Oryzias latipes: one gene and its partners. The protein of the gene in region 3 purifies or fractionates together with the protein of the main gene of each other region. This does not show direct contact. Links are inferred from orthologs where the notes say so. Each region holds a gene or a part of one and is shown on either strand. Other genes may lie near its edges. The genes, in order: hexb, park7, sod1 and prdx2.

Region 1 (7,653 bases), on a different chromosome or scaffold from region 3:
GTAGTCCTGCCCGAAGCCTTGCCGATCCATGAACTTCTTAATGTCCGGGTTGGACTTCCTGCAGGATGAGAGCAGCAGCTAAGGCCTGCCATGTCTGAAATCAGGAGGTCTGTGCGGCAGTCTCACCAGCACGTGAAGTCCACCTCGTCCCCTCCCAGGTGAACGTAGCCGTCAGGAAACACGTCGCTCACTTCCTTGAAGAAGCGGCTCATGAAGTCGTATGTGGTGTTCAGGATGGGGTTCACCGGTCCGAAAGAGCCGGACGGCGTGGCACCGGAGAAACACGGGGTGAGCAAATCCATCTGGCCTGAGAGGGAAGACATGGAGGCAGACATCAATGAAAACAATCATAATAAGTCAAACGCTGAGGCTAAATGCGGCAGGGGCTCACCTTTCCCCCAGGACTGCGTGTGTCCTGGGGTGTCGAACTCCGGGATGACCCGGATGCCCCTCAGGCGAGCAAACTCGATCACCATTTTCACGTCAGAAGGCGTGTACACGTGGCTGTAGGGGTGGTAAGCTCCCTAAGAACATGGCGAGGCGTTAACGCCGCGTACCCAACAAGATGGCAAAACAGAGCTGCCGCCGACTGACTGACCTGCTGACTCAGCTGTGGGAACGTCCGGCTCAGATACGGGAAGGACTGGTCGTCAACGATGTGCCAGTGGAAAACATTGAACTTGTTCATGGCCATCGTTTCCTGTTTGAACAAACAGCGTAACATAAACGAGGAAATTCCATCAAATGATTCAATTTAATGAATTCAATGACACTGGGAAAAGGTCGTACCAGATTAGCCAAGAGGACTTTAATGGGGAGAAAATGGCGCGAGCTGTCCAGCAAGATGCCTCGGTGAGCAAACCTCGGGAAGTCGCTCACTTTCGTGGAATTGATGGTTTTCTGGAAAGTTCAGAGGTTTTGCACACAAAAGAAAACTTTTTAAACCTTAACTCTAGTTTAACGGCAAGACCTTTGGTGAGAGCAGAGGCAAACAGCAACAGCTCTTCACTTACAGCTCCATAGTCATCCTCATACACCAGCTGGCTGAAGGTTTCCAGTCCTGAAAGGGAAATTTGGGGAAAATTTACATAAATTAATTCTACTCTGATAACTTACAGACATTCGGAACAGGCAGGTATAAAAAAAAAAATTTCCATACATGTTTAACGTTTTTATTTCAATTAAATGTTATCTAAAAGCAAAAAAATTATAGTTAAATGTTATTTATGCTTCCTCATTCTCATTTTCCAACATCCTTAGTTAATATAGACAGGATTTGATCACTAAAACTTAAAAGTTAACTTTACTTACTATTTTTTTGCGAGTAGATTTGAGTTATTAATAATTCACTTCTTGTGTTTAGGTTAAAAAAAAGAAATATATAAAAAGAAATATATAGTCATATATTTATTAAATATTTCTCTTACAAACCCTTTTAAGTGTGGCTGTGGACATTTGACCTCAACGATAAACAAAGAAAAAGCTCTTTTTTTGTTTTTGAACAATTAAAGTCCCACTCTGATCATCTTCTGATCTATTTTATTTCCCGGTGGTCCTTCAAAAAACTTGAAATTCACCTCCATGTTGTGGGCCGGACTGTTGGCACAGAGCAACAGAGCGGGGAGTTTCTGCTTGGAGCTTATTTTCTGCGACACAAATAAGATCTTTTTACGACTGCATTTCTTTTGTCTGCTCCTGATTCACGATTTGACTAAAGAAATACTCAGAAATGCAGTTTTAAGCTTAATTTTCTTAATCTATGTCTTCTAACATCAGAAAATGTCACGAGAACATGTTAAAAAGACCCAAAACGCCATTGTTATTGGAATGCGTCTTTAAGCTTAGAAAAGAGTTCATAACACAACTGTTGCTTTGAAAGGTCCTGGATTTTGTAGATGTCAAAAAAGCTTAGAGAGAAAAGTGGAAGCACCCTAAATGCAAAAGTCCAATAATTTATAAAAACTTTTGGTTCCTTTCAAACTTTTCTGTACATTTTTTGTCATATAAACAAATACTTATATAAATTAAGGTCCCAATCTGCTCCTGGAATTTTAATTTCCCAGGAAAAAAAATCCTCACTTTACTCAAAAAGTGAAGTTTCTGAAGTACAATGTAAAGCATCAAAATATGGCAACTTAAAAAGCAAATTATTCAAAAACAGATTATTTTACATTTGATACGGAGACGAAATGTAAAAACTTTAGAGACCGTAACAGAAAAATAATCCTGAATGACCCTCGGATTTTATAATCTCCATCAGATGAAAAGGAATGCAGTTTATCTGTAAGACTCAATATTGACTTGAGATCTGCAAACTCAATAGACTCAAAGAGCCTGAGTGTTTTCAACATGCCTACGTGTTAAGACATAGAGTGTGTTCAGACCGGACACATGTGGTGTCCGCTTAAATGGGACCAGAGTTCTTCTCCTCCAATAATCCAGAACAAATATTCAGTCTAAATACACCCGAGCGGACCAGAACCCGCTCTCGGACCCAGGTGGTCTCGGTTTGTTTCCAATCAGACTGAGCTCTGGTTCACCCTGAGATACCTCACTCTGAATACAATCCGGTGCTGGAGCGGAACAACGGAACCACAACGGCCACCGTAGCCGTAGGAATGTAGCAACAGATGAGCCGCGGACAACGATTGTCAGGCGTTCAAAATTTGTGAGCGAAATATAAAGTTTGAATGAACTAAAAGCGCAGGACTTCCATAATTACTGACTCTAGTTGCTTTGCCCCACCCTCGTGGTTTCCTGACCAATGAGTGAAGAGAGCTTTAGTCACATGGTAGCTTTAGTCTGGAACAGGACAGTCGAATCGATCCGGACCAAATTAAGCGGACTGAGTTGGAACAAACGGTTTTCCCAGTCTGAATAAACCATTAGTGAATTTACAAAAAATATATAAATATAAATTAACATAAGTGATCATAGGCCTTAAATATCTAAGAAAATATTGACCGTTTAACACATCTGGATGCAAAGATACATTAAAAAACGTATAAAATACCAGAAATTGAAATCATTTTCCATTAAATATGATGATAAAATAACAATTTCAAATAAAGTGTTCAATAGTCGTACCATGCAGAGCTCCCCAGACGGTTGGGGCTTTCAGGACAGCGACCGGCACATCCACAGACAGCTCATCTGCGGACACAGATGGCGGTAAACAGCACGTTCATTTTCTGCTTATCACAGCTCTGTTTGGGTTCAGGTTTTAATGAGGTTTTAAACACTTTGTCAGCGCTAATCCTTCAGTTTAAGGTCCACATAAGCTCCACTTTGTAGTTAGAAAATCCCTGCACTCCAGTAAAAATAGCAGATTTAACATTTCCATTCAAAAACAAAACAATTCATGTATGAAAACGGAAAATATTCAGATCAATGACTATGTTGACTACTGTGCTTTATTCCCAGCAGTAGCTGGTTCCATTGAGGTCAAACCTCAGCAAAGAACAGAACAGGAAAGCTAAATGTTTTAGGTATTCAACGTGTCCAGATTAGCCTAAAACTAATAAAAACAATTTATTTAAGATTTTGTTTTAAAATTTTTTTAGTACAGTTTAGTACAGTCTTCTACAAAAGTATTTACCATTGTTTTGCTTTTAGTTTTAGACAGAATTTAATCAACTAAAGTGACCTTTACTTTATGCTTCCTGTTTTCTGCCAGCCGCAGAAGAAGTTCTGTTCATTTGTTTACTTATTACTTCTTATTCACATATCCTCTGTTTTAACTATTCCATGTAGAAAATGTTTATGCTCATTGGTTGTGGATGCACTTATCTATATGTTCTGTAAATGTGTTTATGTTCAATAAAACTTTTTTTAGTTGTGAACGTGAACAGTACTGGATGTAAACAAACTGGTAAAATAACATGGGCTCCAGGACAGGTACCTGTGGGATTCCCATCTTAATTGAATAAGGTGAAGATTGTACATTTTTATTAACAACAAAATACATTGTAGATGTGACTTAAACCCACTGAATTCCTGGTTTGATGAGATAAAGGGGAAAAACCTAAACATAAAAGTTATGGTTTTCAGAATAAAAGTTCTTTTTTTTCTATTATTATTAATTAAATATTTACCTGACAAGGAACTTAATGTTTGTAATAGTGCAAGAAGAGTGGAAAAGCAAAAAAAAGCTTGTTAGTATGACCTAAATTTGTTTTTATTAAAAAAATATAATCAACATCTGTGTCCATTTACTTAAAATTAAATAGGATCAGTTTAAATCAGAATTCTCTACGTCCTAAAAAAACAAACATTTTTAAAACATAATACCACGAAGTGGGGGACTCACATGACTCGTCTGACGTCACAGAAGGATAACCATCACATTGGGAGTCAGGTGATGTGATCGACACTTGCAGCTCAGTCAGTTCCAAGGGGCCAGCTCGTCTGTTTCTGCTCATCTTCTGTTTTTTAGGGCCCCCAAAAATATAATCATAGTACCTGCAGAGAGAGGGAAACCGGTCCTTGAACGCACCACTGCACCGGCTCCTCTATTGACCAAACCAGGCAAGTTAAAAAGCGAACGAGCCGCAGCAAACGCAGCGTCTCACCTCCTGTAGGCGCTCTGCAGCAGGCTGCAGCTCGGACCGGCGGTCGACCCCTTAGCATCGGTGAATTCGAAAGTGGCTCCGCTCAGCTTCAGCGGAACCTCCGAGATCTGCACTTTCTGCGGCAGAGGCCACAGAGAGCCGTATTTGGAAGCCTGGACGACGGGCTCGATGACATCCTCGTCCAGGAGGTTGTCCTGCGTCCCCCGGCAGGAGTTGAGAGCCAGGAGCAGCAGAGCGGACACAGACAGCGCGCGCATGCTGGCAGGAGAGTCACGAGACCCAACTGCCGATCGCTGATTTACAGTACTTCGAGGGGGCGGGGCTTTACATCCGGAAATTAATCTGTCCAAAAATTTAAAGGAGACATTTTATTTTCAGAACAACCGGAAGTAGTGAAGTTCGAGTTTTTTTTAATACATTACATGTTCATTAAGGTAAAATGTCTCACCTGAAAACAAACAAGCTTAACTAAAAACAGTTTTTATAGTACGTGATAAAACAGGAAATTCTTCCTTTAACAGAGGCTGACACTGCAGTTATCTACTTTGATCAGATGGGGGCGACAAAAAGCTAAAAAACCAAAACAGTAAGATGACCAAAACTTGGTAGTTTTGCCCAGTTACATGCATATACTCTACTACTGCTCCTACCCCTGGCTGAGGATCCTGTCTCCGGCTCGTCTCGCACCCCCAGCCGTCCCCCAACTTCAACTGGATGAAGATCATTTGCTGGACTTTAAACATGTAGTTCTAGAGTTGGTTAAGCCAGTTCTTCTCTATGAGTTCTTGTACATCGTCCTGGGGGAGGATCCCTCTTTCATCTGGACACCCCTGAGGTTTCTTCGTTTTTTTGCAGATTTCGTTTTTTTTTTTTTTTTAGGAGTTTTTTCTTAACGCAAAGTAGGGTTTAAGGGCAGGGATGCCAGTATAGTTTATTCTGTTTAGTTAAAGTTATCCTATTGAATTGTATGCATTTATGATCCTTTTTGTTTGTATGTTTACATTAAAAGACTTACAAAGCCCACTGAGATGACTATTGTTTTGAATTTGGGCTATATAAATGAAATTGAATTGAAGTGAAATATAAACTAAATAGCAAAAATAATTTATAATAAATCTTGCAAAAATTGGAAAACTTAATACCAAAATTCAAAAATATTTTTTAACAGTTTTTTTCTTCGATGTTTCATCTTTTTTTTCCTCACTGTCTTATAGGTAATTCTGCTGTGAAAAAAATAAAATAAAATAAAAAACTTTATATGAACACCCAACCAAGTTATTATGACTTTACTAATAGAAAGCGACATGCTAACGGATCGAACAGAATGAAGTGAATTCAGTCCCTATATTGGAACCAGAAATCATCAGTAAATAGTGATTAGTCTGAGACAGTATTTCTATGGCAACCACTCTCACCAATCAGGAGTGAGCTAATTGAAAGTCCTCCCCCCTAACACTTGAAAGCGGGCTTGGGTTTTATCCAGAGGCAGAGCCAAAAGCTGTGACCCCCAAATTTTGCAACAATATTTGTATCATCATTGACAAATGACCTCAAACACACATATACAATGTTTTAGCTCCACCACCAGGAGAACCTGTCAAACGTTTTGAACGTGAGACAACATGTTTTTATTTAGTCATCTGATTCGTTCGTTTTTAACGCCAGTTCTCATATACAGTCAAAGGTTTGAACCATCTATTGTCATTGGAAAAACCCCTACAATACTTTTTAAAACAGGAAATAACTCAAAATGACAATAATAATATATTCAATGTATAACCACCCATTTCAGTCTAATGACAGAAAAGGTGTAGCAGTTTTTAAAAGAAACATCTAGAATCTACTTCTGGGTGACATTTCTTTTCATGCTGCTGTAGAATAACAGAAGAAAAGCAGCTGTTGTGTAAATAGGTGAGACAGATGAGGAAACACACGGCGGATTTTAAAAATGTTGTATTTTACCCCCTTAAGACATCACTATGTGACAATGGCTTGGAGGGTATAGGGAAAAAAGAGGTGGGCAGAAATGTTGCTCTGCTCTGTGACAGTGAAATTCCTGCAGTAAAATGAAATGCGCTCAATGGAATAACAGGGACACAAAAATATTCTTCACGATGAGCTGCATTTGTGTAGCTTCATTCAGTCAAAGGAAAGTTTGAAACCACAGTCTGGGATCTTGTGATCAGATCAGGCCAGCCTTTCAAACAGAGGCTCCTTTTATCTCTGTGCTGCTGAGGAACCATCGTCTTCATGCAACTGACCTTTGTAAAGTCTGACAGCTTAAACGCTAACAGCTGTAGGCAGCATCATGGCAACATGTGCAAACATTTGACCTGGGTGCTGCTCTCCTGAGAGAACAGGCTCCCAAAAAAATGATATTTTTGCAACCTCAAATCCAAGAACTGTCACGCTGCTCCTGGGAAAATAAGTCAACTCGTTTGACGGGTTTTTACTTTGTTTAGTGAGTGACTGAGCAGACGCTGCAGGGGACAGAAAACTAGTTCTCTTTCCCGTTTAGCTTGTGGAACTTGAACTTGTGTTTACTTTATTAAAGGTTTTGCTTTTGTATGGAGCTCAGCTTAGTAGCAGATCATTTCTCCATAATGACAGATAGTTCTTGTGGCATTTTTCTGATGATGGAAGACATAAATAAAGAAAATTAAGCTTAAAATGACATTTCTGAGTATTTCTTTGTTCAAATCGTTGTGAATCAGGAGCAAACGAAAAAGTGATCATTTGCTACAAGCTCCCTGCTCCGCTCCATTCTGATGGATCCACTTGCAGACAAATAGATCCTTAACGTTTTAGTTTTCCTGGTCCGAGGTGGCATCTGGCTCTAAACATACGGCTGGATGGCTCCAATATTGCTAGTTATTTTTGTTGCAACGGTAATGTTAGGTTGGGGCTGTAAACAGTGTAAACAGAGATCTCTCAGTAATGCAAAGGGAAGGTGGAGGCGGGGTTACTCTGCGCCAACGATCCCGAGGTACAGTTCGACTAAACTCCTATAGAAACTATGTCCTAGAAAACGACACAGGTCTTTAGATGTCTGCTAAAAGCTGCATCATCTTTAAAAGACCAC
Region 2 (6,343 bases), on a different chromosome or scaffold from region 3:
CTTGCAAAATTCCCTTGCAAGATTCAATGGAATCCTCAAAAATTCGTATGACATCATTTCAAATGCTTTTTAAACGCATTTGGGGAAAAAATAAAGGTTTAAAAGTAGGTTTTGTCCTCAAAGCATGACCGTTTCCTTATGAGTAGATATACCGGTAGGTCCTTTTAAGCCAAATGGTACAAGTACTACTGCAGTGACATTCTATGGAGAACCCTATGGTCTAATCAGTAGATGCAATGTGAAGCATTCTAATTGCATCATTAGCTAAACCAATGACTCAGTCACAGAGACTACAGCCTTACCCTACCCCGCTCTGCCCCATCCAGAAATAGGGAGTCAAGCCTCAAGCTCTTTACTGTACAGCTGCTCAAGCAGAATAATTCTAACATGCTATGTGCAACAGTGCAAAATGTTATTTATCAGGAAATATACAAATATCAAATATTGCATGTTTGGGACTGTGTAGTACTGTCAAGAAACTGTCCAGGCAGAAGAGCATTTGTCCTCCAGGGAGAGGCAAATATTGGTTCTTTAGCTGAGGCACTTAATGGGCTGATGTTGCTTTTACATACCAGCAACAGCATTAAATGAAATATTGAAGACCGTTTTATGGCAAGGGTATTGATTTTTTTTTGTATTCATATATAGACATATAATCAATACACCGAGTTCGCCTTCTTGAGTTTGATCAATTAAAAAAAATGCAAATAAAGTGTGTAACAGGGAACGTCAGACTGCATAATGATGTGTTAAAAAGCCATTTGACTTGCTCTCTAATCATGACCTCTGACTTTTGCATGCTTTGCAAACAATGCCTGCAGTCCGGCAGTACTGTCAGGCACTTTCTCACTCTGAAAATGCTGTTAGGTAAAAACTAGGGTTGCATTTCCTCCCATTGTAAAACGAGACAACTAAGATAGCATCTTGACTTGTCCTTTTTAGCAGGCAAAAGTCTTTTTTTTATTCTTTAAAAGGCAGCAGTTTTGCGTTTTGAACATGGTCCTATATTAGAGCGGAAGGTTTTTTCTAGCTGGTTTCCTCGCGGCGGCGGCGGCGGGGATGCCTCGCTCGGTCTGATGGACTGAAGCTGGCCTCTGCCGCACTCCCATCAGCTCCACAACGCAGCTTCTGCGGCTCAGGCTGACTACGGTGGCTGCTGAGGACGGACGGCTCCTCAGACCGACGTCTCATGTCGGCTCCCATCTCTGCAGAGCCATCTCCCGGCGTGAGGACTCAATCTTGTGCGTTTAGTCTCAGCACATCAGAGCGCGTAATGCCGCCACCGCTCCCCCACCGGGCCAGTTTAAAAAAAAAAAAAAAAAAAGCTGAATTCAACCCATTATACAAGAACTGCAGCGAACTTGATGTTCACCTATTTGAACACTTAGCAGGCTAATCACGGCGAGTACAATGAGTCCTAGTGGCAAACACACACTTACTGTTGTAACAGACAGCTGCTTGTTTCGGCTGTAGCTTAACAATCTTACCTAATTTTAAACTCTACACACCTTTAGTGGCTATTTATGTGATTTCGTTGCGCACAATGAATGAATGAAATTTTTAAGGGACCATCCTTGCCGTTTAAAGCCCCTCGGGTGAGTATTACTCGTTGACAAAACCCCAAATAACCAAAGTATTTCCGAAACCTACTGCTCTTACCTTCGTCAAAACGCTTCTCTTCCTTCTTGACTGAGATGAAGACCCTCCGGATTGTGTTGCTCTGAAACAGCTACCATGCGCTGACTCCAAAGCCCCGCCCACCGGCCGCGTGCCATTCGTCGGTTGAGCCACAACTGCAGCCAAGCTGGGGGATTTGATTGGTCAGCTGAACCGTCAATCCATTCGGTTTCTGCTTCCCGCCTTCTGAATTGTAACCCCGTTAAAACACAATATGCCGTCTATATTTAGGTCTCAACAACCGCCGCAGGCATGCGAAAACACGTCAGTGACCTACAGTACAAGTAACACTACAAAGATCCATCACTTTCAACTTTTATTTCTAGTTTGAAAAACATTAAACTGTCGAAATACGCTGAGCATGTTGACTGCTTGAAAAGCTCTTGAATGCATTTTAGTGTTATTTCCGTTTTGAAAGCATTTGTAAGCATCTATGACACAGGAAGAACACTCAGAATCTTAGTTGGGCTGAAAAATATATTTACTGTTTTATGTGAAACACAGTTTAAGGAATTTAATAGTTATTACTGAGGCAAGGCCTCTTTTTTTAGGTGACAGTGGAAACATTTAGTCCTTCAAAATAAGAGGAGCCTTGACTTGAGTTGCAACATCGGCCCCCATAAGTTCTTCTACGATTGTCAGGGCAAATTCAAAACTGGTTCCTGGTCCACGGCTGGTGATGTAATGTCCATCCTTCTGTACTCGAGCTTCTGAATATTTATAGTGATCTAAAAAAAAAAAAAAAAAAGAAAGATTTGGTTAATGACCATACAGGAGTTTCAAACAGCAGCTAAGAAATCGCACATGCTGCCCATCAACGTGCTTCAGGAACGGATTATCTGTTGTCATTTCAATTGACCCAGTTCTAGCGTGTTCTATTAAATTCCTGCAACTGCTTTAACCTCTGAGTGGTGTGCTCTCATTGCAGGAAGACTATAGATAAAGGAGCAGCCAGTACAGCACCATCTGCTGCTGTTTAAAAACAATTACACGTTTCTTAGCTGAAATGACAGCAGCAGATTAGAAATCACCAACTTCTTACCTCCAGCCATCATTTTCTCCTTCATGGCAGGATGCGTTGTGACTGTGCTGCCGAAGCCAATGCCATGGGCTAAAAGAGCGGTAGGGCCTGCAAAAGTGCAAAACTGTTCAAGTCTCATGTGACAGCTTCCTGCTGAAAAGTAATATTTAAAAAAGCATTGAGAGAGTTCCGTTTCCTCCCAAAAAAAGCAAAATGCAGCAACCTGGGATTAAAAACCTTCAAATTTTCAAGCAGGAAAAGGCAAGAATTTTATTATTGAAGAGCTTATTGAAAGAAAAAAGCAACAAAAAAGGGTGGGGTTGCCGCATTAACTTTGTCCATGTCTAAGCAGTGCAGTGAGCTCATCCAAACAAAAACAGTTAATAGAAAACTATTGATCGTGCTGCTTTGGCTGCTTTCCTGTTCACACTCAGGGCAGCAGACCGAAAGTCCAAACTACTCCTGAGACGAGTCCCAACTCAAAAGACGCCATGTCTCATAGAAGACATTCAGATACAGCTCAAGTACAATGAAGGAGAAATGAATAAAATAGAACTTTTATTAAAATGGAGAAGTTAACACTGTTTATAATTTGGCATAGTGTTTTGCAGTTTTCAGACATTTTTAGGAGACTTTTCAATCCGCTTTGCTGGATTTATCCCCTTCCGTATCTTCTAAAAATTCTTTCTCTGTCCCGTCTTTGCTCATTAGGGCCAGCTTTGGGAATCTTACTTTGAAAAAGTAATTAGTTATAGTTACTAGTTACATCAACCCAAAAAGTATTTGAGTTAGTAACTCAGTTACTACATTTTAAAAATAATTTAAAATGGCTAAAAAAATATATATTTTTCCTCAGCTGCTAACAAACAACTAATAACTTAAGTTCAATAATTTAGTGAAATTGACACTTCTTGTATCCTGGTATACTTCTACCAATGAAATTCTGTTAAATTATCAGAGAGCGAGGGAATTGAAGTATAGAACTCTAAAGAAAATTTTGAAGTATCACACAAAAACACTCAAAAAGCTATATAGAAAAATCAATGATATTAACTTCAAAAACTGAACATAAAGGTTTGAAGTATCAACTTCTTTTAGTTACTGGTATCCAATTTTTTTTAAATAAACAAAATAATTTCCTTTTTAGAAATAGAGGGGAACAATGGAAAGCAACAGGAATAATTAATAACAATAAAATAACAATATCTAAATCTTAACCTAAACGTTAACATTGTCAGTCAGAAATATCACACTTCAAAACTGCAGCAAGAAAACTATAAATCTAAATATTAATTTTACATAAAGGCAAAACCAAATGTTGCATGATAATAAAAGAGAATGTTTCTAACATATTTCAAGTATCCCCTGAAATGATGTCTTTAGCTGCACTTTCATCATTAATCTACTTTATGGACGTTTTACATCTTCGGCTTTGCTCAGATCTCCGAATGTCTGAGTCAACAGTGATCAGTGGAAGCATGATTTCCACCACATAGGGTACTTTGCAATAAGGTTAACGGTTCTGCTTTGTCACCGGAGCACACACTCGGTGGGTTGTGAGATGAAAAAATACAAGTTTGAGGCTCAGTGGTTCATTAAATTTAAATGGCTTCAGATGGACGTCGGTAAATGTCTTTGTTCCGATACACAGCATGAATTTGACAAACATCTGTTCCTCTTGTTTTAATTAAAGAAAGTAAACGTAATATTTCCAGCCTCAAAATGCTGACACGTCCTGTTGATTTGATCCTGCTGGCTGCGCTGCTCAATCACATCTTGGAGCGCTTCAGTGTGCCCCCGCCCACCTGAATCCCTTTCCAATCGTGATCTCGAGTAGGACAACCCCCGTCGCGTGACACAGAAGACGCTCAGGGAAAGAAAAAAAGTTTAAACCAAATCAATTAACTAAAAGGTAACGCACTACAATCTATACGAAGTGACTAAAACAGCGTGGCAGCCGGGATAAAAGTAATTATTTAAATTACTCAGTTACTTAACTTATAACGCTGTTACTTATGTAATAATACTTAAACGTTGTTACGATCAACGGCTGCCAAAACACTAAATTGATTCAAATTTTGATTCAATACATTTTCTTCCCCTAAATCTCTATATAAACCCATTTTTATTTGATGATGAAAACCAACTTTCAAAAAACCACGGATGTGGACTTCATAAAAGTGGAAGTTTCATCAACAAAAATCATAATTTTTATCATAGAAAATGAACTAAGGATTTTTTTTACCCCCCACAAAAAGTAAGAATGACTTTAAAGTAAAATTGTTCAATTGATTTAATTAATTAAAGCTAAAGATCGATGTTTTTTTTAAATCATTCAATCTTTTTTTTTTACCCCTAACCTACAAGCAAACAAGTAAATCAAACTACTTGTGAGTTTTCTCAGTAGTTTTGGAACAAGGGTTTTTTATGTAAAATATTTGAAAATGACCACATTTTAATCAACTTTGAAATCTGACGGCGTATGATTTATTTCAATCAAGTAAGAGGCATTCCTTAAACTCTTTGGACTAATAATAGTTCCCAATGAACCAAAAAAAAATACCCAAACCCATATTAAAATATGACATTTTGATTTAATTTGATTTGAAATGGTTTATTTCAAGCAATCAAATAAGAATAATACACAACAACAATACAATCATCAGTTATCCATTCATACATGAAACCTAATAAAAGGTGCATGGGGGAGTTTTAAACTTGTGCTGAAACATTGTCAAGTCAACTTTCCAATCCCAACAGGCCCTGTAAAAGCTGCACTTTTCACAGTTCACTGGCTGCCTCTCCAAAATACCCCCTTCACCACAGAGCTCCACTGCCATTTGCAACCATCCAAGCCTATGAATCACACTGCCTCAATGCATTTTCCTGAACAAACATCTCCTCTTTATTTTACAGTTCCTGTATTATTTGGCATCAATTGTAACAGAGGGCCATTTATCAAATGTCTGTTTTTTTCTTTTGTCATCAAACTCTTCATACCTTTAGCTCTTGTGTGGTTACGCAGATTAATGCCAAAATCTCTACATTTGCTCTTGTGATGACTTCTTACACAGTATCATACAAACATCCTTCTGAATATGTTTAAAGTCTCACTCTGATCATCTGTTGATCTATTGTGAAAGCATTTTCCAGTGGTCTTTCCCTTATAAATATGCAGTTTTTAGCCAAAATCAAAAAACCTGGGTCGTTTTCTAGAACATTGCGTCTTCAGAGCGACAGGAGTTCATCAGAAATTCACCTTCGAGTTTACGGGTGAGACCGTTGGCATGGAGCAAACCCTGCTCCTTTTCCCATAAGTGAGAGCTCTCCATTTACACACTTTCCTGTTATCTCACACTCCCAAACTAACATCACCAATGCAACAGAAAATCACAGGCGATATTGGAGCTATCCAGCAGTACAGTTTTGAGCCAGATTCCAGCTCAGACGATGAAAACAAAGACGTGCATGGATCTATTTGTCTGAAAGTGGATGCATCAGAATGGAGCGGAGCAGGAAGTTTGTGGCCCGCCCAGTGTATTTTATGTGTCACAAATACGCTAATAGGGCTGCACGGTGGCGCAGTGGTTAGCGCTCTTGCATCACAGCAAGAAGGCCCCCGGTTCAAGTCCCAGCTGGGGGACA
Region 3 (7,696 bases):
GGCAACAGCATAGAATGTATTTGTTTTAATACAGTATTTCACAGAAAAACTAGAGTTTTGTTCGCTGCAGTGCTGGGAGCAGAGAGAGATCTGCTTTAAAAATGTCAGAACATGGTTTCTTTTCAGCAGCATTTCAAAGCACTGAAGCACCAATCAAACAGTCCAGGCTGCTGGCTTTCCTCATCCTCACCTTCAATGAAGAAAGATGGGAGCATCATTACCTTCAGAACATTTGCCCACCATGATTTTCTATCAAATTCTCCGTCTTCAGCTTGTATTCCTCATTTGTATTTTTGCAGACAAGACTTTGACTCTGAAGATGTTCTGGAATAATGTCAAAGTTTTATTAAAAATGTTCCATTCCCTTTTTCTCCTTTTTTTATTAAAAGTAAGCAGTTTTTGGAAATGAGTTTCAAAAATAGACCAAAACGACTTTTGTTCAGTTTTTGGACTCTGGCTTAGGTTGTTCCAAAGCCACAAAGTGACATATACTTAAACTACAGGAGTTCATGTAGTTTAACACACTTAACATGGTGAATGCTTTTAATCATCTGTTTTTCTATGATAAAATAAAGTAAAACTGGCAAAAAGTGATTCACACATCATTAGATTTCCTCCTTTAATGTAATTTTTTTTTCTTTCTAAAAAATGATTAGAGGTTAAATAGCTAATCTATAGTCTACTTATTTATGAGGTAGGTGAACTTATCAAATGGATGAATCTACCTTTACCCCTTACTACCCTGTAGAACTTTAGTCTTAAAGCATTAAAACGCCCTCAAGTGGAAGAGAAAAGCATTGCAGCTTTCCAAAGTCTAATCGTCGCTCATATTTCTGGCAAAGACAGGCTTCACAACATTAATTTTAAGTGCCGTTTAAAGTGCTGTTCATTTGTTTTTGACTCCACATTAAAAAAAAAAAAAAAATCAGGATCCCCATGTGACCCATTTTTGCAGGATAATGAACTCAACATAAAACATTTCCCTTTTTTGTAAACCTTACCTATTAATAATTGCTGGTCTAAAATACAGTGTGGTAAATGGAGCAAAGATTATATCCTTGGGAATGTACTCTTTTAGTGACCTCAAGTTGAAACATGCCTGGGTTCTGACCCAAAACAAAACCCTGAATGGCTTCAGAAAATATATGAACATTTAGTGGTTTAGTAAAGACCTCTCCAAAATTCTGATGGCAGTGAATTAATGCATATGTTCTGAAACCCTCCAACATGGACAATTTTAAAGTTTTCCAAACTCTTCTGGTCCACAGTCCTGTGAAAGTCTCCTAACCACTTCTCGTAAAGGCTTGACTGCAATTGAAACTCATATTTTCACTTTTGTGTGGATTTTGTGGCATCTTTGACTAATATATTATTAGTTTGATGCTCTGAAACATTCAAATGCAACAAACGTCAAAACAAATATCTACGATGAACAATATATGCAATCAAGGGTTAAAATGATTTTGGCGCCAAGATAAGGTTGAAAAACGTCACACCCAATTTGATTTAAGTGGGGTTTTAGTCATTCTCAGTGCCCAAATGAGACAATCACAGTAGATATAACCCATTTTACTTTTAATAGAAGACATACAGAAATAACTTGTGCGTTTCCAATTCTTTGGGACCACTACACAAACGAACCCATACATACAACTGTCCAAGGGAACAATGGCAAAGCATGGCTTGGCTAGTTTATTAGTCCAGAAGAACAAAACTAAGGACTAGCTGTTACATTAAGTAGCTTTGTTGGTCTCATTAAATGCCGTGGGAGGAAGCGGCTTTCAGTGCGGTTTTGAACATTTTACTGAGCGATGCCGATCACGCCGCAGGCCAAACGCGCTCCAGCATTTCCAGTTTTAAGGCTTTCATCATTTCCACCTTTTCCAAGATCATCAACTTTCTCATGGACCTAAATGATTAGGACAAATAGGGCAGGAAGAAAAATACTATCAGCTTTAACAATTTATACAATAAAAAATATTAAAAACAAAATTAAAAAGTAAAAACTTACCACCACAGTTCTGCCAACAATAGAGTCTGGACCTGAGAGTCTGATAAGTTTGTCCGTGATATCTATTTTAGCAACGTTATTATCTCCTGCGGTCACATTTCCCAGGTCCCCAACGTGTCTGTTAAAAAGAAAAAAAAAAAAAAACTTCCTTTATCAAATAAATTCAAATAAAAACTTAAGACACTTAGATGTGGGGGGGGGGGGGGGGGCAGGTTAGATAGATTAGTCAGTTAAAACCAACTAGATGCATTTCAAGTTGTTAAAAAAAAAGAAGCTTACTTTATCTTTAAAAAGTATATTCCTACTGAATAACTACCAAAGAAGTCTGATTTATTTTTAAAGCACTTATCATATGCGACTAATGGAGAGTGCTTTTCAGAATAAATTCAAATTAATTTTATTTACAAAGCACCTTTCATGTCAAACAGACAGCTCAAGGTGCTTTCCATAAAAATAAAAAAAAACAAGAATACAATAAAAACAAACCCCGCACATGAAGTAAAATAATAAATAAGCCCCTTAAAATAAAACACACAAAAACAAGCACAAGTAAAAGAGAAATAACAGAGCTTAAGAAAAGAGAACCCAGAATAAAAATCTAATAAACTGAGGCCAGACACACTATCTCAGTCTTTAATAACTCAGCTCAATGCAGAGCACCGTTCATGATGCAAGTTGTGCAAACAACCCACAAACGCTGAAGTTCCACTGGAGCGCTCAGCTTTGTCAGACTTTGCTCTCCAAAACTATTTGTTAAGGCTACCATCGGTGGATTTGGAGTTAATTTAATCCTCATTCAAGTTAGATATGTGCATGTAGGTGAGTCAATGTGATCTTTTCAAAAGACATAAGCACAAAATTCAAAGGCCTAGAGTGCATTTTACTTCATGTATCCCATTTCTCAGTGTTTTAACAACCTTGGTTTTCCAGAGCCCCCTTCCCAGCATGCCTCATTTGTTACCCAACTGTCAGCACAACTCCATCAGCTTTAAGTGATTTAAATGTGAGCCGTTTAAGCTTTAGAAGAAATAAATAAACATGCAGGGATTAGGAATAGGACATTGCCGAGAGAGATAGAGATTGATTTATTTACTGTGTCAACACCAAGTTGCATGGAAAATGGGATGGCTCTTTTCACAAAGTTTCAGAAATTAGCTGATTCGTTAGATAAATCATCCAGAAACGTAAGCTATAGTTACTTTCAAGCAAGTAAGCTTGATCACATATTCTAAACATCGTCACATCATGCCCAGTGTAAAGGTAGCATGATAGGTGATTATAACAGCAGTGAGTGATGCAGGCAGGCAGAGTAATTACTAGCAGAAGGAATCAAGTTTACAGAACCGTCATGTTATAATTCTGTCCTGGTATACATCTATAAGCACTCCAATTTATTAATGGGGAGGGATAAAATAAAAATTCAAACCAATATCAGAAAACTAATAAGCTATAGAACCAGGTTTTGCATTTACTTCGCTACCCTTTCCCACATGACCCTCACCTTTCTGCATCTTCAGGACCCCCGTGGTTCTTGTTGTATGGGTTGAAGTGAGGCCCTGCACTGACGCACCCTAGAAAAAGAAATGTTTGGGGGGACGGGATGTGGAAGCTCGTCAGATAATATTAGATTTCATTTACAGCATTTTCAAGAATCCCAGTCACTCATCGGCTCATGAACTCACCATTGGTGTTATCTCCATACACGTGGATGTGGAAGCCGTGCTTGCCTGGTGTGAGGCCTTTGATTTCTCCAGTCACCTTCACAGGGGCTGAATCGCTCTAAACACACACACACCAAATACCGTGGCTACAAAATAATTCAATCTACTATTTTAGACTGTCTTATGCAAAAGTAGATCTTCAGAAAATGAAATATTGACCGCAGCTCAGACATTTATCTGTTTTTACTACGTGAGAAGTCTAGATTGTTAGCAACGCCAAATAAGTTATTAGAAACAAACAACAAGTTGGTAGACTTCCTATGACTCAGCAACAACATTAGTATATTGTGGTATTTAAGGTTGGATGGGGATAACAATTCTAAAAATGTATCTTAAAAATAGGAAACTAAACAGAACTGGCGCCATCAGTGTAGTAACGGTAACCAATGACCTCATTTACGCAACCACAGGCAGTTGGACCGTTAATCATTACAAAACCCAAAGTCGTAAAATGTCTAAAGGTTGTGCAAATTTAAAACATGGACCTCAGTCAAATTACTCGAAGACAACATGCTTAAGGCCGACAACAACAGCTCATGATGATGATGATGTACGCATTACTTTTTCAGTACGGAGAAAAAAAAGAAATAGTGGTTCATTAATTCTGTACACTACTTATTAAACGATTGTAATTTTGCAAGCTGTTGCCGGTTTTGGCGAAACATAATTAAGTAAAAGCAAACTTCCAGCACAAAAAGGCATTTCCTAATGTGGATAATGATGTATTAGCATCCTAGCTAGCTTAGCAATGAAGAGCTAAATAAGCAGAGGAGATAAACATTAAGCAAAGGTCACGTTTGCTAACTTTGGAACATAACGTGAGACAAAGTTAAAGCTTTAATACAAAACTTTACCTCCTGTTCAAAATTAACCACGCCGTTGGTTTCTCCTGTTCCTTTCAACACACAAACTGCTTTCAGCACCATTTTTGCTCAAGTCTCTCAAGACACTGCTAGGAAAAGGCGACCAATTACAGTTATGAAAGGCGAGGCTTTGTAGGCGGGCTCAAGTTGGAAATAGCCAATCAGATTCCGAGATGAATGTCAAATAGTCTGTTTGGATTGGTCGAAGAAGATTCCAGAAGTAAAAAAGCTATGAATCATGGGAGTACGAATTGCATGTGAAGTTTAATTATTAATGTTAATATCTTTAATTGCGGTTAATACATTTTTGTAAAAATTTTATCTATAAAAGATTTTTATATAGAAATATTGTTTATGTTTGAAAACAATCAGAATAATAAGAATAGTTTTTGCACTCTTTTAAACAAAAACAACTTTGGTTCTGGTCAGATAACAGCAACTTATCAGTTGCTGCTGAAAAATCTATCAAGTTTTTATACCCCATATCATTGAACAATTCTAACTTGAATCTCTTAAATCTTTCCAGGAACAATAAATTAAGTTGTTTCCCCCCCAAAAGATTAATCTGGCACACAATCTTCTATTTTTCAACATTTGTATGGAAAATAAATGTTTTTGTGTAAAAGATGATGGGAAAATAGGGCAGGCTCACTAACTGCTATTTTCTTTGCTATGGCTAGCACTAACTGCTAGCAATAGCAGTTAGTGTCTGGCCAGTCACAACTCAGAAGAATTTTGGATGAACGTCTGCCACTCTGCAGAAACTACGTCATAAAAAAAAATCGCCTAAAAGCAACATAACTGACGTTAAAATAGATCAAAAGATGATTGGACTGCAACTTTAATAATTTATTTGAGATTCCCATTTATTTTAAAATGAGAAAATTTTTCTGCATAGATTAGTGCAAAAGTGAAACACGTTCAAAAAATATTTTTCCATCATCAAAGACTGTCGGTCATCCCAAATTGTCCTTTTTTTACAGATGACTTTCTCTGCTCAAGCAAAATAAGATGTGACCATGGGTTAAAATACAGGACACAAAAACCATTTTGGTACAAAAATAGTTTATTAAAAAGTTTCCTGTGGCTGAAACATTGACATATTTATGTCCATGTCTTCTGTACTTTAAACAAGCCATAAAAACATCAGTCAATTCTCAAACCACTAGGATTTAAAAATGTTAAAGCAAACAAATGCGTGTTGTTCCTTCTGCATTTCATCTTGGATTGAACATGTAACATTATTAACAACAATTACCATAACACCTTTAAAGTCATCAGTGAAAGAAGCATATTTACAGCAGTGTCCAAGGCAACAATACCCTTCCATTCATCAAATTAGTACTGTAGTTCCACACTTGCTGCCTTTGCATTAACCTAAGGAGGAGTGGGGAGGTTCGTTTGTTTGTTTTTAAATCTGGTGATCAAAATGAAACGTATTAAAATGATTCAAAAATATGAAAAGTGACAGCTGTAAACCAAGTCCTTCAATCCAACTCTATGAACCCGGGGGAAGATTTGGTAGAAAAAAATTATAATAATAATAAATTGGGGATTTTTTGGCTTTGGGGAAAAAGTTTCTTCAAGACCAAAAGATAAACTCAAAAGGTAAACTTGTAAAAGTATGCAGACAATACTCATAAATCCTAAGCGACACGTGTATTTTTGCACATCTAGATTATAACTTCACCTTCACTGTTCCTAAACAGAAGAATGGAAAACCCACAAGGCAGAATGTGATGAGACAAAACTCATTCCCAATGCGATTTTGACTGCACTTCACTTTAGAATAGATTTTTCATAAAACCTAAGCACAGTTCAATTGCCAAAACAACCTGTATAACGAAAAGTTTTATCACTTCTAGAACATTGAGGTTTTTTTTAACATTTTGTCTGTTCCAATTTTCATGCAAGTAAAATGCCACTTGACTGTATAAGCACAATATATAAATGAAGCTTTTGCTCAAGGCTAGTTTGACCTAAAACCATACAAATTGGTGTGTAGTCAAACATTTTTGCACAGGGAAAATGTCATTAAGAAACAGAAATTAAAAGAAGATGCTACATCAATGGTGTCTAATAGAAAAATTGAATAGTTTTTTATTAATTTGGAAATGTATTAAAATGGCAAAAGAAATGTTTACAACCGTCTGACATAAAGGATCCTACCGGATAAGTCTGCACTCTGTTTTTTGTTCTGAATTTCTTTTTATAGTAGTGGGAATGCATTTTAAACACTCAGCATAAATCTGTGGATTATGAACATAAACGTTTGGACCACAGTTGACCACGACAGATTTTTCAGCAACCAGAAAAATAGCACATTTAGAGCAGTTTGTTTTTTTCCTGATCATAGTTGACTCAAATGTGTACCAAAAAAAGGGAAACCACTTCATCATAAAGCTGAATGTGAAGTTTTTAAACAAAAAGTATGCATTTCCCTGTTGGTACCACCCCTTTCTAATATTCAATACCCAAATGTATTTCGTTTACTCCTTATGATGGCACTGCATTGACAACTTCGTACTAAACACACAACCTAGAAAAAAAACAACGGAGCCTCTATTTATAAAAAATCTGAGATGATATTCAGTGTTTGACATTTTAGCAAACGAAAGACATTTTTCTAAAAGGAAAAAAAATGAACTTGGTTAAAAATGTTTTTTTCCCATTAATAAAGTGACTCACATCATTTTAGCCACTTTTCTTCCACAAAAAATAAAGATAGAAAAAATAAAAGAATTTCAAAAAGAAAAGTTGTTTTTTAATGCAAATGCTACATTAAAATGAAAGGAAAAACTAGAGTTAGTAGCCAATAATTCACTACGCCTTGTTTGTTTTGAGATGCAGTCCAATTCTTTCACATCACCTGATGCTGGAAAAAAAAACCTACCTGTCTAACAAAGTGTGTGGGAGTGATCTGTTTACAGAAAATGTCCTTTTAACCCAGAAATGGTTTATTCCGACCTGAAAAACAGGTTTTGCTTTAAAATAATTTATGACACGGTTGATCCTGAACGTTATAGCCTTTCGTTTATGTCTGAAGGCCTAAGAGCCGGCTTCCTTGTCTGCTTGTGTAGACTCGGTTTGAGCTGAAGGGG
Region 4 (7,721 bases), on a different chromosome or scaffold from region 3:
CTAGATCAGCTCCTCGTAGTATTTTCCAACAGTTGTGTCTCCTTTACAATCACCAAGCTCTTTCAACAATGAACACCTCTGTGTTCTTGAACAACCAAAAGCTTCCCCGGCTGAATTACACCACCGTATACAACACCGTTTAATCCTAGATTGTGCTTTAGCGCGGACGTTTCCCGCCCCTGAGACCGCTAAAAACCCCAAACGCCAACTTAGATCGTTTCCGTTTATTTCCTGATACTGAAGGAACTTTTATTTTGGAAAACTACCGGATTCTGTTAACCACATCCGTCCGCCTTGACGCGTCACGAGACCATAAGCTGCTGCTCGGAACGGTAAAAGCTAACAAAAACCAAACAATAAGACGTGTTTGGAAAGTGTCTTCGGGGAGAAGAGAGTCGGTGAGGAAACTGAAGAAGAGCCTTCGGCTTCAAAGAAACATGAAACTGCTGCTTCCAGACAAAAGAGGGAGTCTTCCTCCAAATGCCAACCAGAGGCCGATCCGGAATGCAGATCAGGAACAAATCAGGGACTTTGTTCGGTTTAATCTTTGTCATTTGAAAAAGAAAAGTTTTTAAACTACATTTCTTGTAGCATTTTAATTTGAAAAATACGTTTTTCAGAAACTGGAAGCAAAAAAAAGAAAAAGGTAAAACTTTGGCCCCGTTTGGACCGGACCGTGAAGATATTGTCCGACATTAAACCGCCTGAAAAGGGTTTGCCTTAGTGGACTCGACACATTTAGCGCATGTTCGTGCACGGTTTTTCTTTTTACTCACCCTCTCCATATTTATCGGTGTGCTGGAAGGCTTGGATCAGACGGAGAGTTTCATCCACGGAGCGACCCACGGGCAAATCGTTAATGGTGATCTGTCTCAAGACGCCGTTGCCGTCGATCACAAACAGACCTCTAGGGACAAAAACAAACACGTCCTGTTGGGATCCTGCGTTCTCCCACAGCTCAGAAAGCCGGACGACGGAAGGGAAAGAATCGGACCTGTATGCGATTCCGTCGTCCTCCTTCAACACGCCGTAGTCTCTGGAGATGGACTTGGTGAGGTCGGCCACCAGCGGGATCTTCATGCTGCCCAGACCCCCCTGCTTCCTCGGGGTGTTGATCCTTTTGCAGGTTAGGAACATAAAACATGTTTAGACTTTACCACAGATCCACTTAAGATCCCACGTCTCCAACAGGATTCTTTAAATTAAAAAAAAAATAAAATAAACATATTAGGGAATTCACGAAAAAAGCAGACACGTTTCTATTCAGGGAAGCTCCGCCCCTTTTACAATGTTCACAAAGTTTCAGAGCGAACCGAAGCTGTGGGGCAAAAACAGCCAGCAGCAGAGGTCAGAGTACTTGCTCAAGGGCACCACAGCTGTGGGCCGTTTGTCCCGCACACATGTGATCTTTGTTGGGGCAGGAAATTCCAACCAATCAGAAGTTCCCGTCCAAAAATAACTCTCATGCCACCTTTTTTATCAAAACGATGTACATTCTGCTCAATGTCTTGAAAGGCAAAGGAATATGGGCAAAAAAAAAGAAAAGACTAAGTTTGAATGAAGAGACGCCAGATTTCCACCAGTCCATCTGTCAAGTGCAACCTTGGTTAATCAATAGGAATGTTTACGTCGCCTCCGTCACGCCAGCGTCTGGCGTCCGTCCCTCTGCAACGCAACGGTTCCATTTCCAATCCCACGACGCATCAAAAGCAAAAGGCCGGAAAAAGTAAAAACTTTCATTGAACTTTCAAAATAAAACTTTAGGAACTTTTATATTTAAGGTAACGTGCCAAACCATGCCCCCAATAGAAAGGGGGGGGGGGGGGTGGAATGGGGTTGGAATTAGAAATGTGAATAAGGAAGCCAAGTCAAACAAGGTATTTTCTGTAACTATGACTATCGTCATTCTTTTTTCCTTTTTTCCTATCAAATCTACACATTGCAGTTCTATACTTTAAGATTTTTGCTCTGAACAGATGAAGCTGTGCACGTCCAGCTTAGAGGTAAAATCTTAAGCCCGGGCTCGAGTCTGAACGGTTATTAAAGTTAATTGGTCAGGTTCGGACCGGGTTCGGCTTTAATGCCCGCGGGCCTGTGTCGGGTCGGGCTGGATATTTTAGGCCTGATCTTACCTCTAGTCCAGCTCGACTATTTGACAGATTTGTGTTCAAACTGTCCTGTTTCTATGTTGTTTGTCTGAAAATTCCCCTTTTCACGACAAACGTCTGCAAGTCAAACTGAGCAAAATGTGATGATGAGGGAAGTGATCTTCACCTTTTCCTTACTGCAGCTCACTGCAACTCAGATCACACAACCTGCAACCACGCATGTTGACCTGAAGGGCCGCATTTACGGGAACGCTTTGTGGAAAAGAAAAAAAAAGTTTCGAGTGGAAGAATATTGGGGGGACTTTAACGTCTGACAGGGAGGGGCAGGTTTTTACTCCATAGGCTTTAGGTTTAAATCTGGACCAAGACCCGGACTGAAGAGGAGGAGCAGCTTAAGGATGAACTTAAGGGAGGAGCTGTGAGACCGTTGGGTCAGCACTTATCAAGACCCTGCAGCCAGACCCTGACCGGAGATAAACCTGGGTGTGTGTGTGTGGGGGGGGGTCTTCAGAACCAGCTGATGTAAGCTGTTGTACCACATCTGCTCTCTGGTTAGAAAGTGTTCCTATAGAATTGCTCCACGTTTGTAAATACTGCCGGTGCAGACTCAAATCCTGCACCGCCCTGTGTGTGCGTGTGTGTGTGGGTGTGTGTGTGTTTATGGGTGTGGGTGGGGGGTTCCCCAGTCCACCATAAACTGAGATTCGGATTTAAATTCGAGGACAACGCGTCGATCCTCACAGGTTAAACCTCCGCCTGCGTTCCCCTGCCGACCTTTTCTTATCAAAGCTTTCCGACTTGTCCTTGACCTTTGCAAAGACTCCCAACCCGCTCAAACGCAGTTTTTCCAGGAACAGGTTCTGATAGCAACCCGCTGACTCATCAGGAGCTGCGCTTACATGGACAAAAGTAATCGGAACGAACGCCAGATCAAAAGAAAAATGTGTCATGTAAATACGCCGTTCCACCAACACGGATTATGCAGATTGTTGATCAGATCATGGTGCATGTAAACCGTTTACTCTAATCGTGGGTCACTGCTGCCCTGGTTTACGTCACCTATAGACGGTGTGACGCTCCGGAGGAGACTTTGGAGCACAAACAGGACCGACCGCCTGCTCCACCCGTGTGAAGCGTGTCTCTGATCAGAGCAGAGACGTGTAGCTTCGTGGGGGGCGTTTTGTTGCGGTGTGGCGCTCCAGAAGAGGCTTTGAACCGCCGTCCGTCCTGCTTCTCTGCGTGAGCGAGCTGCTGGACTCAGGAGAACCGGGTCTCCCGATAGAACCGGGTCTCCTAGCAGAGGAGCGGCTCTGGGACGGATGTGAGCTAACGGAGGCGGCTATTCAATGGAGAAACGCTGCAGAGTCCTGAGAAACCGTGGAAACAATCCTGTGAATTCATGTTATTTCTGAATAAAGGCTGATGTTGTTCCCACATGTTTACATGCAGGCAGCAGAGATGCAGATTGCAGCATCGACCGCATGGATTTGAACTGCATCCACGGCTAAATGTTGTTGTTAGCACGTGTTAGCCTAAGCTAACCCTTCTTCTGGCTCTGTGCAGCCAAGAAAACATGTGAACAAGCACTAAAATCACCTCTATGCTGCAGCTTGTTTACAACAGAACTCAATGTTTCGTCTTCTACAGACGTTTCCGGTATTTTAGAGAGTTCTGCTCGTGTCACAATGATTTAATCCGAACCAAAAGTGTGACATATGTAAACGTTTGTTATAATCGTATAAAGTGTTTCTGGGCCCATGAACACGGTTCAATTCTACTCCGATCAAAGACATTTTGCACACGTCACCGCGGCTGCTGTGGGTGATCTCCGGTTCTTCCAGCAGGAGGACTCACCACGCCAGGTGGCTGAAGTGAGAATCTACGGAGCAGCCGATGACCTCGCACCCGATCTTGCGAAACTCCTCCGCCCGGTCGCTGAAGGCGATAATCTCGGTGGGGCAAACGAAGGTGAAGTCCAAAGGGTAGAAAAAGAAAACCACATACTTCCCTGAAACACACAGAAGGAACCGGTTACTCAACCCAGAGAGGATGAATCCAGTTACCCCAACGATGGCGTCGGTGACACCAATCCAAGCAGGAGCAGGTGCAAATACTGAATAATGGAGTACCTTTGTAGTCCGACAGCTTCAGGTCCTTAAACTGTCCATCCACTACAGCGGTGGCTTTAAAGTCTGGGGCAGGCTGGCCTATCTGAGCTTTTCCAGCGGACATGATGGTGGAGGATGAGCAACTGCAGGGACTAGAAGATCCACGGATGAAGAAGACAGAAAAACAACACGTTTAGGCACTGCAGCTGAAACAAAGTCTCACGGTTTGAGATCTCTGCATTCATCCCCCCTGCACCCCCCCCCCCTCCTCCTCAAGGAGGTCACGCGGCAGTCAGGAGAACAAAAGCCTTTAAGAGGCGCGCGGAACCTACAGCCTTAAACGACTCAAAAGGAGAAAGATAAGAAGAAAAAAGAGAGACGCACTTTTAAGGCGGGAATGAAGACTAAAGGTTGTTTAACTGAAGTTCAAAGTTCATTACCTGAAGTGTTACACACACACACACACACAAAGAAAGCACACATGTTCCTTCATTGTCTCTTAAGTTGGTCGAAAACCAACAAACGCCGCGCGGCTCCGGTTAGATCAAAGGCACCGCCAGCGACTTTCAAACGCGTCTCCAAGGCTGTTCGACCGAACCAACCCGGACCCAAACAAAGACGGAACCGCAGGCAGGCGGGCCCGGACCGTCGCTACTAGCTAGCTTCTTTTAAACATTAGCTTAAGAAACCGGGTTTTTTCTTCTTTTTTTTTTTGTTGTCAGTTTCTTCCGGAACAAACCGCAAAACCCGGAGACGCTGACGTCAGACCAGACTGACCCCGTTCACTCCCAACACACCTGACTGCCCGCCGAGAACTCGGAGGAAGGTTTGAAGCTTCTGGAGAAAAGAAGCGCGGCTGCGTGGAAACAAGTAGACCCCGACAGCTGCGCCCCCGGAAGTACTACACCCTTCAAAATAAAAGCCGCTCCTTCGGCCCTGAGAAATCTTTGGAAGAAGTTTGTGCGTTGGGGCTCACTAAAGCAGTGACACTACTAAGGAGTTAGGAACGTTGTTATTTACACGAGGACTTTTCCTATTCGGTCTGAATATTGAGGGAAAAAATCATGTGAAATCACTAATAGTGAAGAAGAAACACAATTTTCATCAGGTTGATTTTTATTACCCCTAGAATTAAAACAAAACCAAAATAACAGACATTGACTGTGTCAATAGCACTCTTACACAAGTGCTACATGCAGTTCTGCTCAGGTCACTTGCATGTCTCTGCTTCCGCTGATCCCCGACCTGCTCTATTGGGTTCAGGTCAAGGGTCATTGCTGGCTACTAGAAAAGCCACTCCCACTTCCTGAAGTCCAGCTGTGACAGTTCTGGCACCATGTGGTGGATCATCATCATCCATGAACAGGAAGTTGGGGGTGTTCTGGTGGAATTGGGGGATGATGATGGTTCTATAACGTCTCTGAGGTCAGAACCTGCAGTGACTGGACCGTCTACAAGAACCTGGTGATGCCGGTCCAAACTGTTGCTCCTCCCCCACCAAAGTGAACCCTGGAGACCATGTTGACCTCATCGTCTCGCTCCACCTCGCGTTCTCCAGCAACGCTGGTGACCATCTTTTCTGCACGGTGACCCGACCCTCATCCGTGAACAGGACGGCAGACCGTGGCTGCATCGTCCAGGTAACATGGTCTGTATTGCAAACGTTCACGGCGGCGTCTTGGTGTGGGTGGGGTCACCTGCAGCGGTCGTCTGTCATTCCAATGTGGTGGAGTCGGTTGGGAATGGTTAGTGTGGAAACCTTACTGTAAGTGTAAATTCAAAGTGCCCAACATGCTAACTTTTAAAATAAATAGCTTACAATATAACTCAAGATCAAATTAAACATGAAACTTGTGACATTTACAATGCACAGCCTTATTGTACTGTAATCTAACGTGTGTGGAAATAGATGAAATAAAGATGATCTGCGGACTGAAATCCAGTCCATTGTAAATGTTGCTTTATTTATGCTATGTCAGTCTTTTATATTTGTCCAGTTTGTAATTATTATTTACATTTTTGTATTTGTGGCCTTAAAAAAAAGAGTGGATCAGGTCCAAGTCCTCTCTGTTTTGCCAACCTGTTTCGAATCATCACTTAGCAGTGTCAGTTTTCTTTCCTGTTCCTTTTTCAGTGATGTTTTTTTGCCCCCCTTTGTCCCTTCCTGTCGCCCATGACTGAGAGCTCTCACTTATGCTGCGAGCTCCTGCTAGCTTACAGCCCCTCACACCCCCATCCTAATATTACCTGTGCAACAAAAACGGTGAGCCGCTTTAGATCCAGATACCAGTTCAGAAGAGGTGATTTAAATAAAGAAATACTCAGAAATCCAATGTTGAGCATCATTTTCTTTATATTTGTCCTTTTCCATCAGAAAAAGGCTACAAGAACATGTTAGAAATCGGAGTGGGCCTTTAAAATACTTTTGCATTTGACAACTATGTTCTCTTTCATACACACATTTACAAAACAGTAATAAGTCTGTCATCGAAAAAGCAAGTAATATGAGATGTGGCAGTCCCCCCTAGCAGTAGGTAGGAAATGCCAATCACCCACAGTTTTATCGGGTCAAGTCTCATTTTAATGCAGTAACCCAACACTTCCGGGAGACGGCAGTAGTGCGTTGGTATGTATGGGTTGGTACAGTGAAATCCATAGAAGAAGAACTCTGTGGAGCGCTACTTCCGGTGAGCTAGCATATCCTGATGTTTCAGGCACTTTCTGAGAGATTTTAAGTAGATTCACGACTTTAATAAATGTGTTATGAAGTTAACACGTGTCTGTGAGGTAGATTATAAAACTTTCCGGTATTTAACTGAATAAAAACGGATCAAGCAGTCACTGCTGTACCTGCTGCAGTGTAGCAGGCAGCACACAAACAATGGCGGCTGCTAGTACTACAGTAGAGTACTATCTTAGCTAAATCCATCGAATACCTTTGTACGTTTTTATATTTTAATCCTACTAACGAAAAAGTACGATAATCGAAATGGTAAACTGGTAATGAAACGAGGAACAAAATAAAAAGAGACCTGGAAAAGAAAATGCTTTCTACGACTCATCGCGACAATTGTCTGATCGCGTGTTTTTTTTTTTTATTATTATTATTTTTCTTATCGCGTGGGTTCAGGAAAGAGTGTGGATGATAGCATGCAGGCGTCTGCAAGCTTTGACTCTAAAAGGGCCGGTTTTGAATCAAAATTATTGTGAATTTCGTAGTTGAACACCAAAAATAAAATACGTTTTAGACTAAAATTAAAAGTCTGTCTTGAAAAGAAAACCTTTTGTCAACATAAACCTGAGTTCCTGACATGTACAGTATATTTTTCCACAATTTAAATGCTCTGAGTAAACTTCTAAATTGAAATCACATGAACAGGAAAATAACAGAAATAGTTATCTTCTTCAAAAGTATAAACACTGTGGTTTTGATCACAGAAACGAATAAATCTGTTCCTCTCGTTTGGCCCTCAAGGCTCTGAAGGTCCAGTTGCCACAGGTTGTT

What was found.
Region 1: the proteins of sod1 (region 3) and hexb purify together in Homo sapiens (affinity purification with mass spectrometry; 3 studies listed by BioGRID and IntAct, with this or other methods). This does not show direct contact. The link is inferred for Oryzias latipes from reciprocal best matches to the Homo sapiens genes SOD1 and HEXB.
Region 2: the proteins of sod1 (region 3) and park7 purify together in Homo sapiens (affinity purification with mass spectrometry; 4 studies listed by BioGRID and IntAct, with this or other methods). This does not show direct contact. The link is inferred for Oryzias latipes from reciprocal best matches to the Homo sapiens genes SOD1 and PARK7.
Region 4: the proteins of sod1 (region 3) and prdx2 fractionate together in Homo sapiens (co-fractionation; 3 studies listed by BioGRID, with this or other methods). This does not show direct contact. The link is inferred for Oryzias latipes from reciprocal best matches to the Homo sapiens genes SOD1 and PRDX2.

The regions. Positions count from the first base shown.
Region 1 is NC_019870.2:5,730,250-5,737,902, reverse strand, and holds the start of hexb (beta-hexosaminidase subunit beta), read right to left. Parts: upstream 4,868-7,653; 5' UTR 4,829-4,867; coding exon 4,572-4,828; intron 4,462-4,571; coding exon 4,310-4,461; intron 3,154-4,309; coding exon 3,088-3,153; intron 1,061-3,087; coding exon 1,014-1,060; intron 901-1,013; coding exon 790-900; intron 701-789; coding exon 599-700; intron 525-598; coding exon 392-524; intron 308-391; coding exon 127-307; intron 59-126; coding exon 1-58. UniProt on the Homo sapiens protein: Hydrolyzes the non-reducing end N-acetyl-D-hexosamine and/or sulfated N-acetyl-D-hexosamine of glycoconjugates, such as the oligosaccharide moieties from proteins and neutral glycolipids, or from certain mucopolysaccharides.
Region 2 is NC_019863.2:8,957,679-8,964,021, reverse strand, and holds the end of park7 (protein DJ-1), read right to left. Parts: intron 2,807-6,343; coding exon 2,720-2,806; intron 2,406-2,719; coding exon 2,245-2,405; 3' UTR 2,141-2,244; downstream 1-2,140. UniProt on the Homo sapiens protein: Multifunctional protein with controversial molecular function which plays an important role in cell protection against oxidative stress and cell death acting as oxidative stress sensor and redox-sensitive chaperone and protease.
Region 3 is NC_019872.2:10,952,347-10,960,042, reverse strand, and holds sod1 (superoxide dismutase [Cu-Zn]), read right to left. Parts: upstream 4,782-7,696; 5' UTR 4,659-4,781; coding exon 4,587-4,658; intron 3,791-4,586; coding exon 3,694-3,790; intron 3,583-3,693; coding exon 3,513-3,582; intron 2,130-3,512; coding exon 2,012-2,129; intron 1,910-2,011; coding exon 1,802-1,909; 3' UTR 1,554-1,801; downstream 1-1,553. Other genes in the region: scaf4 (splicing factor, arginine/serine-rich 15), read right to left, coding at 7,644-7,696. UniProt on the Homo sapiens protein: Destroys radicals which are normally produced within the cells and which are toxic to biological systems.
Region 4 is NC_019859.2:35,387,398-35,395,118, forward strand, and holds the start of prdx2 (peroxiredoxin-2), read right to left. Parts: upstream 5,134-7,721; 5' UTR 5,014-5,133; exon of another isoform or gene 4,994-5,013; intron 4,369-4,993; 5' UTR 4,341-4,368; coding exon 4,238-4,340; intron 4,117-4,237; coding exon 3,963-4,116; intron 1,118-3,962; coding exon 777-1,117; intron 1-776.